3 linked regions of the Danio rerio genome follow. The protein of the gene in region 2 interacts with the protein of the main gene of each other region in a pairwise test. Links are inferred from orthologs where the notes say so. Each region holds a gene or a part of one and is shown on either strand. Other genes may lie near its edges.

Evidence for each region.
Region 1: the proteins of lmo2 (region 2) and stat1b interact in a two-hybrid assay, tested with the Homo sapiens proteins (2 studies listed by BioGRID and IntAct). The two-hybrid records come from large-scale screens. The link is inferred for Danio rerio from reciprocal best matches to the Homo sapiens genes LMO2 and STAT1.
Region 3: the proteins of lmo2 (region 2) and hnrnpm interact in binary tests that used the Homo sapiens proteins (3 or more experiments, as listed by UniProt). The link is inferred for Danio rerio from reciprocal best matches to the Homo sapiens genes LMO2 and HNRNPM.

What each region holds. Positions count from the first base shown.
Region 1 is NC_133184.1:42,946,819-42,951,053, forward strand, and holds the start of stat1b (signal transducer and activator of transcription 1b), read left to right. Parts: upstream 1-1,416; 5' UTR 1,417-2,400; coding exon 2,401-2,528; intron 2,529-4,235. UniProt on the Homo sapiens protein: Signal transducer and transcription activator that mediates cellular responses to interferons (IFNs), cytokine KITLG/SCF and other cytokines and other growth factors.
Region 2 is NC_133193.1:41,222,728-41,225,525, forward strand, and holds the end of lmo2 (rhombotin-2), read left to right. Parts: intron 1-1,216; coding exon 1,217-1,439; 3' UTR 1,440-2,267; downstream 2,268-2,798. UniProt on the Homo sapiens protein: Acts with TAL1/SCL to regulate red blood cell development. Also acts with LDB1 to maintain erythroid precursors in an immature state.
Region 3 is NC_133197.1:17,223,060-17,227,479, reverse strand, and holds the start of hnrnpm (heterogeneous nuclear ribonucleoprotein M), read right to left. Parts: upstream 2,928-4,420; 5' UTR 2,715-2,927; coding exon 2,677-2,714; intron 640-2,676; coding exon 464-639; intron 1-463. UniProt on the Homo sapiens protein: Pre-mRNA binding protein in vivo, binds avidly to poly(G) and poly(U) RNA homopolymers in vitro. Involved in splicing.

The sequences.
Region 1 (4,235 bases), on a different chromosome or scaffold from region 2:
AAAAATAATAATTCAATGAAAGGAAAACATAGAAAAAGTAGTAAGTAATAAAAATATAATTAACAACAAGACATCCATTCTCAAATTTTGGTGTAAATAGTAACAAATCATTTAAGATAATACGTTTGAAACTTTTTTCACTTTTTTATTTCTTGTTTTTTTATGTACAAAGGTAGTAATTAATAAGTAAAACTAGGTTATTTATTTCCCATTTACACTTATGAATAATGAATTATAAATAAAGACAATATACAAAATATTGAGATTGAGTCTTCATAATAAAATATACTTAACTTTGAGTTGCAGTTCTATCTTGGTACTTTGTTTCAAGCTAAAAGTAAAATCTTACCAGAATAATCGTCTGTGCTAGATTACATTTAAGAACATTTAACATTTACAAAGATACAATATGAACAAAGAGAGAAAACAAGAGTCTAAAAGTTTAAATGTTTTACAACAAGAAATGCAATATAATTATTCAAGTTTAAGTATTTCACGTATACATCAGAATCCTTCCTAATAATAAAAAAAAAGGATGTTTCTTTGAAAATTTACATTTATAGATATAAAATTTAGCTAGAAAAAGCAATGAACTAATAGTACCTTTACAAAGAGAATGATCTAAGTACAAAGTAACCAAAGAATATAATTTTTGGGGTATATACACAAGTTTGGAGTAAGAATTTAATGAAATTGGAAAAGTCAAACCAAAACACTTTACAGTAAGTACACTCCCGAAATAAATGATTTAGTGTTTTGTTATATTGAGTATAAAATGAGCATTTAAGTGAATAGTGTTATTAAATTTATACAGTTTGGTATTTATTAGGACTCCTTCACCCAGTGGTGTGCAAAAACATAACATGGAATTGACAAATCCAAGTTTCGTTTCTGTTTCTTTCCAGCATTTGATTTTAACTCTCGTTTTCTCGGAAAACGTGTGCTTACCCGATGGCTAGTGGCTGTGCTATGAGTTTCGTAACCTCCCCCTGACAACAAGCATCTCAGCATGAACTTTCTGTTCCGTACGCGTTTTATTGATCATATAGCTATTCTTATGTATCTTAAGAAATAAATAATGAAATGTTATCATCTTATTATGAAGTATTAGTATCCGTCCATCAAAAGGCATAACAACATCTTTGTGTTTCGCTGAGTTTCTGTTCTCTTATCAGTTCCTATTCTGTATTGAGTGTGAGAGTAAAGGGAGGGCTGCGCTTCCCTGGAACAGCCATTGGCTAGGGGGCGTGCTTTTACTGTACGCATCAGAACGTGATTGGTTGTCATCGCTGGTGTATTTAAATATGGCAGTTAAAGCGTTACCATTGGCCTGAGAAGTTAATGTGACATCCACCTCTGTGAGTATTCTATAATTACGAAGTCACTGAGGAGAATAAAAGGCTGAAGCAGACAGTTTAGTCTACGCGTATTTTATCTGCTTATCCCGAGATACACTCCTTTAGTGACTTGACTAAACGTCCACGTTGAAAGGTAATACATGTTATGCGTTTTATATGAGTTTGTTCATGCAAAATGCTATGGGAAAGCTGGAGATAATGAAATGCCACGTAAAGCAGCTTTTTGTTTATAATGTAATGAAATATTAGTGAATGTCATATCATGTAATTTGTAATTTCATTTCATACATTTTAGAAAATGAAAACGTTTTAAATAAGTAAATTAATTGCATAGATTAGAAGCTTTAGGGATCTCTTAAAATAATTTTCTGCTGTAGATGGCTATTTCATTTTCTCATATCTTTTGATCATATCTGCATGACTTTTATGCAAAAGATTTTATATGCATGGGCTTGATGGCTATTAAACTTTTTTACAATTTACAATGAGTTAAAAATAAATCAAACATTTTAAATTGTAAAGTTATAACTACTTTTAATTAAATTATTAATTAAAATAAATAATATTTTATAAAAGTCCCATTTATTGTGAAAAATGTATATATGTATTTATATTCACAACTGGTCAAAAGTTTGGGGTCAGCAGGATTTTAAAATGTTTTAAAATAAGCTTCTCCTGCTCACCAAGGCTGTATTTATTTCATCAAAAATACAGTACAAATAGTAAAATTGTGAAATGTTATTGCACTATAAAATAACTGTTCAAAAGTAGTTTGTCATTTAATTTAATTGTTTATTCCAGTGATTTTAATGATGAATTTCCAGCTTCATTACTCCAGTCTTTAGAGTTCCATGATCCTTTAAAAATCTCTCTAATATTATTTTATTATTATTATTACTGTTATTATTATTATTATTATTATTAATGGAAATAATATTAAAAGCAATAATAACTAAAGTAATAATTTCATAAAACAAGGTGCTTGGTGAGAAATGTCAACGCAGAGAGGGTTGCATAACGGGTTGCAATTTTATGTTTGCAGATGACGCTCTGGAACCAGCTGCAGCTGCTGGACTCAATGTATTTGGAGCAAGTGGACCAGCTTTACGATGAGGCTTTCCCAATGGAGATCCGACAATATCTATGTCACTGGATTGAGAGTCATGACTGGTGAGATTTTAAAATAATGATTAAAAATTTTTTGCATAATAAATTGCTACCAATCATCATCATTTTGAGACAAAGAGCATGTTTACATGGACACCAATAATCCGGACAATTAGGACAATTCTTTGATTAAGAGTAAACAGCGATTTTTGATTAATTTAATCCGATTAAAGTCATAATCGAACTAAACAGAAATGGAATTAAGACATGTGGAGTATGCTGATTTTAGTCGCATTGTTGAAGTGCAGTACAGACATTTAAACACCGCTGTGACAAATCGGTCTTGTTGTGGGAAGAAGTAGACAGGGTCGGCGATATAGTGTAAATGAATGTTTTTTTTTCCACAGTAAAGCAGGTCAACACTTTGGGCCCTATCATACACCCGGTGCAATGAGGCGCAAGGCGCGACTCAAAGGTTGTTTGCTAATTTCTGCATGGTGCAAGAGTCATTTTGACGTTTTGCACCACGTTATTTAAATAACAAATGCATTAGCGCTCATAGGCATTCTGGTCTAAAAAACCAAGTGTATTAAGGCACGTTGCTATTTTAAGGAATTTGTCACAATCAAACAAGATTTAGAGAAGGATCCAAATGCAAGTAACGTGTTTATTTGATGCAGTCAAAACAAACCAACAGGGCTGTATGCGTGTGCAAGGACAACTGGGAAAACAGGGTAGGAAACAGACAGACGAACGGGGTCCTCCTCACAGTCCTAAGCACAGACAGACCCACGAGCAAACACAACGAACTGACAAAGAAACATAGAAGCGTCGCCCAGATATAGGCACGATAGTAAGCCTCAGCTGGTGAGCTAATCAAAACAGAGAGTATAGTCATAGCACGTGACTATAACCAATACACGTGCACAACCAAAACAAAACCCACGTGACCAAACAGACACTCCGAAAGGTGCACAAACCTGCAACCGTGACAGAATTAAATTGTCTGTTCAATAGACCAGATCAAAGCAGGTCTAAAGTCCAGCGCAGAGCAGGTTAGTTGTGCACCTCGCTGACACATTGCTTAATACATACAAGGTGTACAGCAATACACAAATATCTTTACAAATTAAAAAGGATTCAAGGATTAAAATATAACAAAAATATTCTTTTCTAGCCTACATAAATATAAAAACCATAATTTCATGCCTTCTTTATCTCTGGGGGCTTTTTTAGTTTATTCATTACAATTTGCTTTTGTGTAATGTTATTATTATTAGCAGTATTATTTATTATTTACATATTTACATGGGTGTTGCTAGGCCTATTCTACTCAGCCCCCCTAAAACTTTTTGCGATTAGCTCATGAACTGTACACTCAATTATTGCCTCAGTCACCTTTAAATTTAATATGAAACAGCGGCAGAATTCCGCTCCTCCCCTTCTTTTCTTTTTTCATTTGATCAGCAAACCACAGCCGTGGACGTCGAGAGAACAAGGTGTTATAATGTCTGCTTATTAGCAGTTCTTTGATATAGATAACCTTGTATCATCTGTATCCCAGTGTCATGGAGGAGCAGTGGGGTTTTCTCTGCGTTCACCTCATTAGCACAGCTGTTTCCTCCAGCGAAAAAAGTAACTCTTAACGAACATTTCACAATTTTTATTTCAAAATGAACTACCAATAAAAACACTTTACAGTTCGTCTGGCACTAACTATACCATACAGTCTTGCACAAAAAGCATTAAACACAGTGACAGAAGCACTTT
Region 2 (2,798 bases):
ATTTTCTTGTCGGCTTAGTCCCTTTATAAATCCGAGGTCCCCACAGCGGAATGAACCGCCAACTTATCCAGCAAGTTTTTACACAGCGGATGCCCTTCCAGCCGCAACCCATCTCTGGGAAACATCCATCCACAGACACACACACACACACACACACACACACACACACACACACACACACACACTATGGACAATTTAGCCTACCCGATTCACCTGTACTGCATGTCTTTGGACTGTGGGGGAAACCGGAGCACCCGGAGGAAACCCACGCTAACGCAGGGAGAACATGCAAAATCAGAAACGCCATCTGAGCTCAGGTTCGAACCAGCGACCTTCTTGCTGTGAGGCGACAGCACTACCTACTGCGCCACTACGTCACCTATTATTATTATTATTATTTTTTATTATTATTTTTTTCCCCAATGATGACCATGTTATTTTACGTTTGATTCCATTTCTGTACTTGCTGTTACAGTTACTGTCAGACATTTCCTGAAAGCTATACCACTGTTTATTTATTTTTGCTTCTAATCTATTATCATTTATGCACATGTACTCCATAGAAAAATACTTGATCATCCCAGTCAATCTAAATAAATTAAATCTTTCCCAATAAAGTTATTCAAATCATCTGGTGAAATTTTATTTATATCGCAATAAATATGACAAAATATTGTACGTTTTTTTCCAATATCGTGCAGCCCTAATTTGTGATGTCTTTTTGAATGTCGTTTTGACATCCAGGTGCCAACTGGGAACATATTACTTTTGTCACATATTTGTTTCTTTTATAGTAGGATTTCAGATGAAGCCTAGGTTCTTTGTTGCTGTAGTGGTGCAAAAGCATTTAAAGGTTTAGTTTACCTGAATAGAAAAATGTACTAAAATATTTGTGAGTTTTATCTGTTGAAATAAGACATTTTGGAAAAAAGTTGGAGGCTGTTAAACCATTGACAACCGTAGAAAAAAAAATGGAAGTCAATGGCTCCCATTTTAAAACATAAAAAAGCACCTTCATTGAAGCTCATTTGTATTCACTAAAGTAAAAAAAAAAACTCAAAAAGGTTTGGAACAATTGTATCGAGAGTAAATAACAGAATTGCAATTTTAATCAAATATCATAGACTGTAAAATGGGTGAATATTCCTTTCATAAGTTTAGCTCATAGCTCCCTCTGTTGGTCAAAATAATCACTATATTGTTTCCTTCCTTTCAGACTGTTTGGTCAGGACGGACTCTGTGCTTCCTGTGAAAAGAGGATCCGGGCCTTTGAAATGACCATGCGTGTGCGTGACAAAGTCTATCACCTCGAATGCTTCAAATGTGCTGCCTGTCAGAAACACTTCTGTGTTGGAGATCGTTACCTGCTCATCAACTCGGACATTGTGTGTGAGCAGGACATTTTTGAGTGGACCAAACTCAACGGCAGCATAGTATAGTTTTCTGCCGAAATCATAAACAAAATGTAACCTGTCAGCATTTTCAACAAACCCTTTACTAATAGAACATCAATAACAAAATATATATTTTAAAGAAATATAATTCTGGCTCTAGTAGCTGTGCTCTAAATGCTTGTCTCTTTTTGTTATTTAAACTTGAGAAAAATGCCACCAGGTTTCCCAGTGTTGGGTTGCAGCTGGAAGGGCATCCAGTGCGTAAAACATATGCTGGATAAGTTGGCGGTTCATCCCGCTGTGGCGACCCCTGATTTTTAAAGGGACTAAGCCGAAAAGAAAATGAATGAATGAATGATAATTGCCACCAGCAACAAGAACCTTTTTGTTAAATTTGATATATTTTTGCAGAACAGCGTTATACAATTTTTAATGTATTGCAATAAAAACTGATTCCCTTTGCTACTTTTACACAATTACTTCGATTTGAACTATAGTACTATTTGTTTTGAAGTAACACAATTGCAATAAAATATACAGACATCTTAGAAAGATGATGCTTATTCTCTCAAGCTGCATTTTGTTCACTGGACAACTGTTTTCTGTCAATTTTTAAAAATGTATTTTATTTCTGTGATGCAAGGCTGCATTTTCAGCAGTCTTCAATCCCATCTTCAGTGTCATATTAGCTTTAATTGGAGCTCAAGAAACATTTTTTCACATTATTTTTTATTGTGTGATGCTTTTTTGTGATGTGATATCTATAATATGTTATCAAAGTGCCAACAGAGCACACCCAATATTCCTAAAAGGACATATTGTATACATTTCATATATATTGTGTACATATTGTATGCCAAAAAAAAAAAAAAATCATGATCTGACACCTAAAACTTATTGTTGGTGAAATTTTATTTACTCCTACCAAATTCAGTCATATTAGATCACCTTTTTTACCTTGATCCAATTAAATTAGATACTTCTCTGCTTAGGTTATGCTCTTCACATGAAGTAAACACAAATATCATAAAGTGAGAAATGAGAAGAATTGTTTCGATACCATCGCATAGCCAAATTAAGGTCTGATGCTTTAAATCTCTCATTTAAAGTTGGTCATGTGGCTTGAACATTAAAAAAGACTGCAACAAAAAACAAGCAAATTAAAAAAACTACATCCATGTAATGTTATATGGCAGTAACTAAATTAGGCATGCAGATGCGATCAAGAAAATGGGCAAGAATGTTAATTTAAATGACTGGCTGAACGTGACATTGATGTTGGTGCCATATGGCTCTTGTAAATATATTTCAGAAACTGATTTATTTATTTATTTATTTTTATTCACTGTCAACTCAAGTATTTATAGAGAATAGCCCGGAAAAAAAGAAACTATCCGGTGAGGG
Region 3 (4,420 bases), on a different chromosome or scaffold from region 2:
ATTTAATTCTACAAGCAACAGTTTCCACATGAAATTCCCCATGCGTACAAATCATTAGGCATGGAGGGGGTGCTAACTCAAGGATTGGGAAAAATGTGACCACTCATGGGTTGTTACTGAAATACTAACCAACAGGTTATAGTAAATAAACTACACACTTTCTCCAAAGCCGTAGAGACCGATTACAGGAATCAGATTCATATGAATGGATTAATCTCAAGTTCTTAATGCATGTGCAAATGCACACAGAATTTTAAAGTTCCATCCACCCACATTAGCAAACTTAATTAGACGGTTTCAACAACAGCCTTTCCCCCTCAAGACACTATTAGAACAGCCTTTCTCCGAGACCACTTCCCCATGATGGGATGTTTGTCCTCTGACCTAAAGCAACTGTGTAAGGTGGCCACCTTCAAAACTAAAAGGGTCCTGAGAGATACAACCATGCAGCACAAAAGCGTACCTTTTTCCTTCATGAGATCTTTCAGCGTTTGCCATTTAACATCATAGGGAATGTTGCTGACAAACACGCTGTATCTCTTGTTGGGGTTCGAATAGGGTTCGAACCGTCCCCCACCACCACGCTTCGGGGGCCTTTCCTTTCTCGATTCATGGTTGGACTTGCCGTTCACTGCATTTCTGTATGGAAAGAACATGCAAATTAATGCTTTTTGCACCCAGAAAGAAACAAATTCTATCCTGAATGACACAAAACTACATTATGCAAGCAGGTTTGAGTTGATTGCAGATTTTTCTTTACTCATTTAAATAGTCTAAGTACTGTGTAAACACTTGATGTTGTTTCAATGAAGTGAACTATAGAATAAATATCTAATAAAGCCTTTTTTCAGTTTTCAACTTAAGCAATTTAATAAAAATGCATTATGTAAGAGAAGTAAAAATGTACAAAATAGATAGTTTGCAAATGAACAGCTGTATATGCTATGCTTTTGTTTTGTTTTTTTAAAAGCAATTGTTAATTGGGTATGGGACGATAACCGTTTTTAAGGTATAACGCCATTTGGAAAAGACAAGGTTTCAAATCCACCAAAATTTCCTACTATACCACTCCTAAGGTATGTGTAAGATTTTTTTCTTTAGTTTTGTTTAGGACAACAGTATCTGCAGCAGAAAAGATATCAAAAGAAGTTGTTTTAAATTATAAAGAAAGCTGTGTTTTTGAAACTAATGAAGACAGAAGTCAATGATTTATTTTCAATATTCAGCCTGACATGTTTACTGCTCCAATTTTTTTTGTTTCTCAAAAAAAAAAATTGTGTTTAAAAGAAGGGAAAAGTTTTAGTTTTTTTTACCCTGACATTTAAATATAATATACTTTAGAGCAGTGAGCACAACACCATCAAACCGTAATAGTTTTATCCAAGGTTATCAAACTGTCAGAATCTTACACCAGCCTATGCAGAATGTTAACAGACTGCAAAGTTGTTGGTCTTTGGTGGGGAAAATGGAAAAGATCTTTAACATGCAGCTGGATTTTGACCAAATTTCTTTGATTTTGGGTATACCTAAAGGACACATTCTTTTTTTCCCATCAAGAAATTGTATCATATTAACCTTAGCCACCAGAAAAAAAATTTATTTTACTTAATTGGATTTGTGATAAATCCCGTTAATTCCCCTGGAACATCTCACCCACGTTTTACACACACAAAAAAATATTCAAAGTTTGGATTCTAGATTTCGATTATTATTTTTTTAACAGTGCCTGTGCCCAATCAAGCTAAAAATACTGTAACTGTTCTTATCATCTAAAAAATGAGCTATGTTTTTAACCTTTCTTCTGATCTGTTTTATTTGGGGTATTCCTGATAATCTGAGCTTTTTTCTCGATTTTCATTGTTTTTTGTTGATATCAGGGCAGGGCCGATATACGATAGGACATCGAATTGCAATAAAATTTGTAAATGATAAACTCTGGACTTTTTTGTACTCTATATTGATGTAAGAGCCAATCACACAGCATAAATAAGCAACAATTGTAATGTAAAAATGTTGATATTAGAAATGTATCGATTTTTTTCGGCCACCGAAAATATGTTATGCCATTTAATGGACCCTTTCATTTTTGTGGCTTCAGTCATTGTTGAGGTACTCAATTCATTCTGGAAGCATTAACAACTTGCATCAAAATATATATCGTTATCGTTCAATATGGAAAAATGTATCGAGATCTTTTTTGGCAAATCGCCCAGCCCTAGTTGATTTTTATTTGCGTGCTTTTTGAAGTTACATTATGCATGTATTACTGAAAAATCAAATACACAATTACATTAAAAGCAGTTGTTTTCCCCAACAATTAAGACTAAAACCCTGAGAAAATGTTTTATATTTATATACAAAAGAGTCAACTCGTGTTTGTTACCCAATGTGAACTATTATGTTTCATCTGCAGGCTTTATTTCGCTTAGAAGACACATTTGTGTGTGGCGTTTCCCATGCTGGTTTCCTGCAGCGTGATTCCAACGCCTTTGTTTCGGCAGGATATGAATGAATCAACCAAGCGAGTTTGGAATTAGACATTAAACGTCGGTATATTTACTGCAACTTAAGTAAAAATAACTATAGGTACATCATACACTGCAACACTCCACACCTAACATTGACATAAACAATTAAAAGGCAAAACATGAAAACAACATGCAGTTGTCGCATTACCCTTGGCCTGTTTTCTCTGGCGAAGCCTCAGTCGACATTTTGCTCTCAGATGTCCGCGTTTTCTTCCTTCCAGATTAAACTGCTCGTGGATCCTCAGACGCGGTTTATAAACACGCGTTTATAGTTAAAAACAAAGGTAGGTGTTCAGTCGCTTTTCCGTCCCGTGAGGTGTCGCTAAACCCGCACAAAAAATTCAGTCGCAACTCTCGTCCTTCGCCTGCTGAAATGGCGGCGATGCTGAAAGAGCGACGCTGATATTGGAGGAGAAGGAGAGATGCATGATGGGAAACAGACTGACGCAGTTTAGTTTAAATCTCAATGGATAACGTTGTACCTACGAGCACTATTTTTCTCCACAGCGTTATTTTATTTGGAAAAAAATATATGTATTTTGTATAAACACAAGAGTATTTTTGGAGAGGTGGTTTGAAAAGGGTTTTGTTTTAGTTTGTGAACTGTTTAACATTCCAGGGTATCCTATGAAGAGTTTCTTGTAACTTACAATTTAACTTCCCTGTAACTCCCATGGACTTTTCTTTTGTTTTCTGTGCAATTTATTCTATTATTGATTCCTTATTTAGAGATGTAACTTGGATTAATTTGCCCATAATCAATCTAGCTCATTTTTTTGTTACAAATAAAAGAAATATCTTTAAAACTAATTCATAAATTCTATCCGGTTAAACATTAACTCAGTAAATTTAAAAAGGAAATTGATATAAATTGCTCGTTTGTACTTTGCATTTGGAAAATGCAATCATATTTATTTTGTTGATTAAGTTTCATGTTTATAAGTGTACATTTTCTAACAAAAAATCCTGTTTTACTTTGTTTTATAAGGAACTAAAAAAAAAATACTTTTGTACTATTCAGCATAGTGCTAAAGGCCATTAAAACGGCCCATTTGTGCTCTAGTTTTAAAATCTTTGATTAATGAACAGGTCCTGCTTGTCTGTAATTGTAAGAATTATATTGAATTATTTATGCTCTTGTTTTTATTTATTTTTTGTACTGTTATTAATATTTACTGTTCATCACCCTGGCATTATTTTATTTGCTATATTGTCATGTATGTGTAAAACCATAATTTAAAAAATGGATAACAGTATTTGTTTTGCCATAAAGAAGGATAAAAAAACTATAAAACAAGAGCTCTTTTTCTTGAAATCAGTTTCTCTACCGCTCCTGCTGTCTCATATTGGAACATTGATCATATTGGTCTTTTTGATCATGAAAATATATGGTCAATACAGCAAGTTTTGTCTTACTAATAAGGTAAAGGAAATATCATTTAACTTTTTAAATAACATTTACCCTGTCAAAAACACCTTAAAGAAAAGATTTGGATCAGACTTTAGTACAAATTGCTCCTTTTGTCAAAATAGTGCTAAAACTCTTCCTTTGTCATGCAACCGTGTTCCAATTTTGGCAAGATGTGAATTTATTTATCTCAAATATTGCTTTACAGCTTTTTTCTGTGACTCCAAAAGTAATTATTTTTTTATTTTTAAAGCCTTCAAATTTTAATGTCTACTTTATAATAAACATTCTTTTTATGCAGATTTTGTTTTATTTATACGTTAAATGTACATTTTCAAAGTGCAAGCCAACATTTATAGCATTTCATACAAGAGATTCAAAATTATTACTAAATTCCAGATTCACTTAACAAGAAAGCACTTAAAACATACTCTTAAATCTCTTAATCACTGTTATCTTCTTATTTTGCCCTCTTCACTCTCAA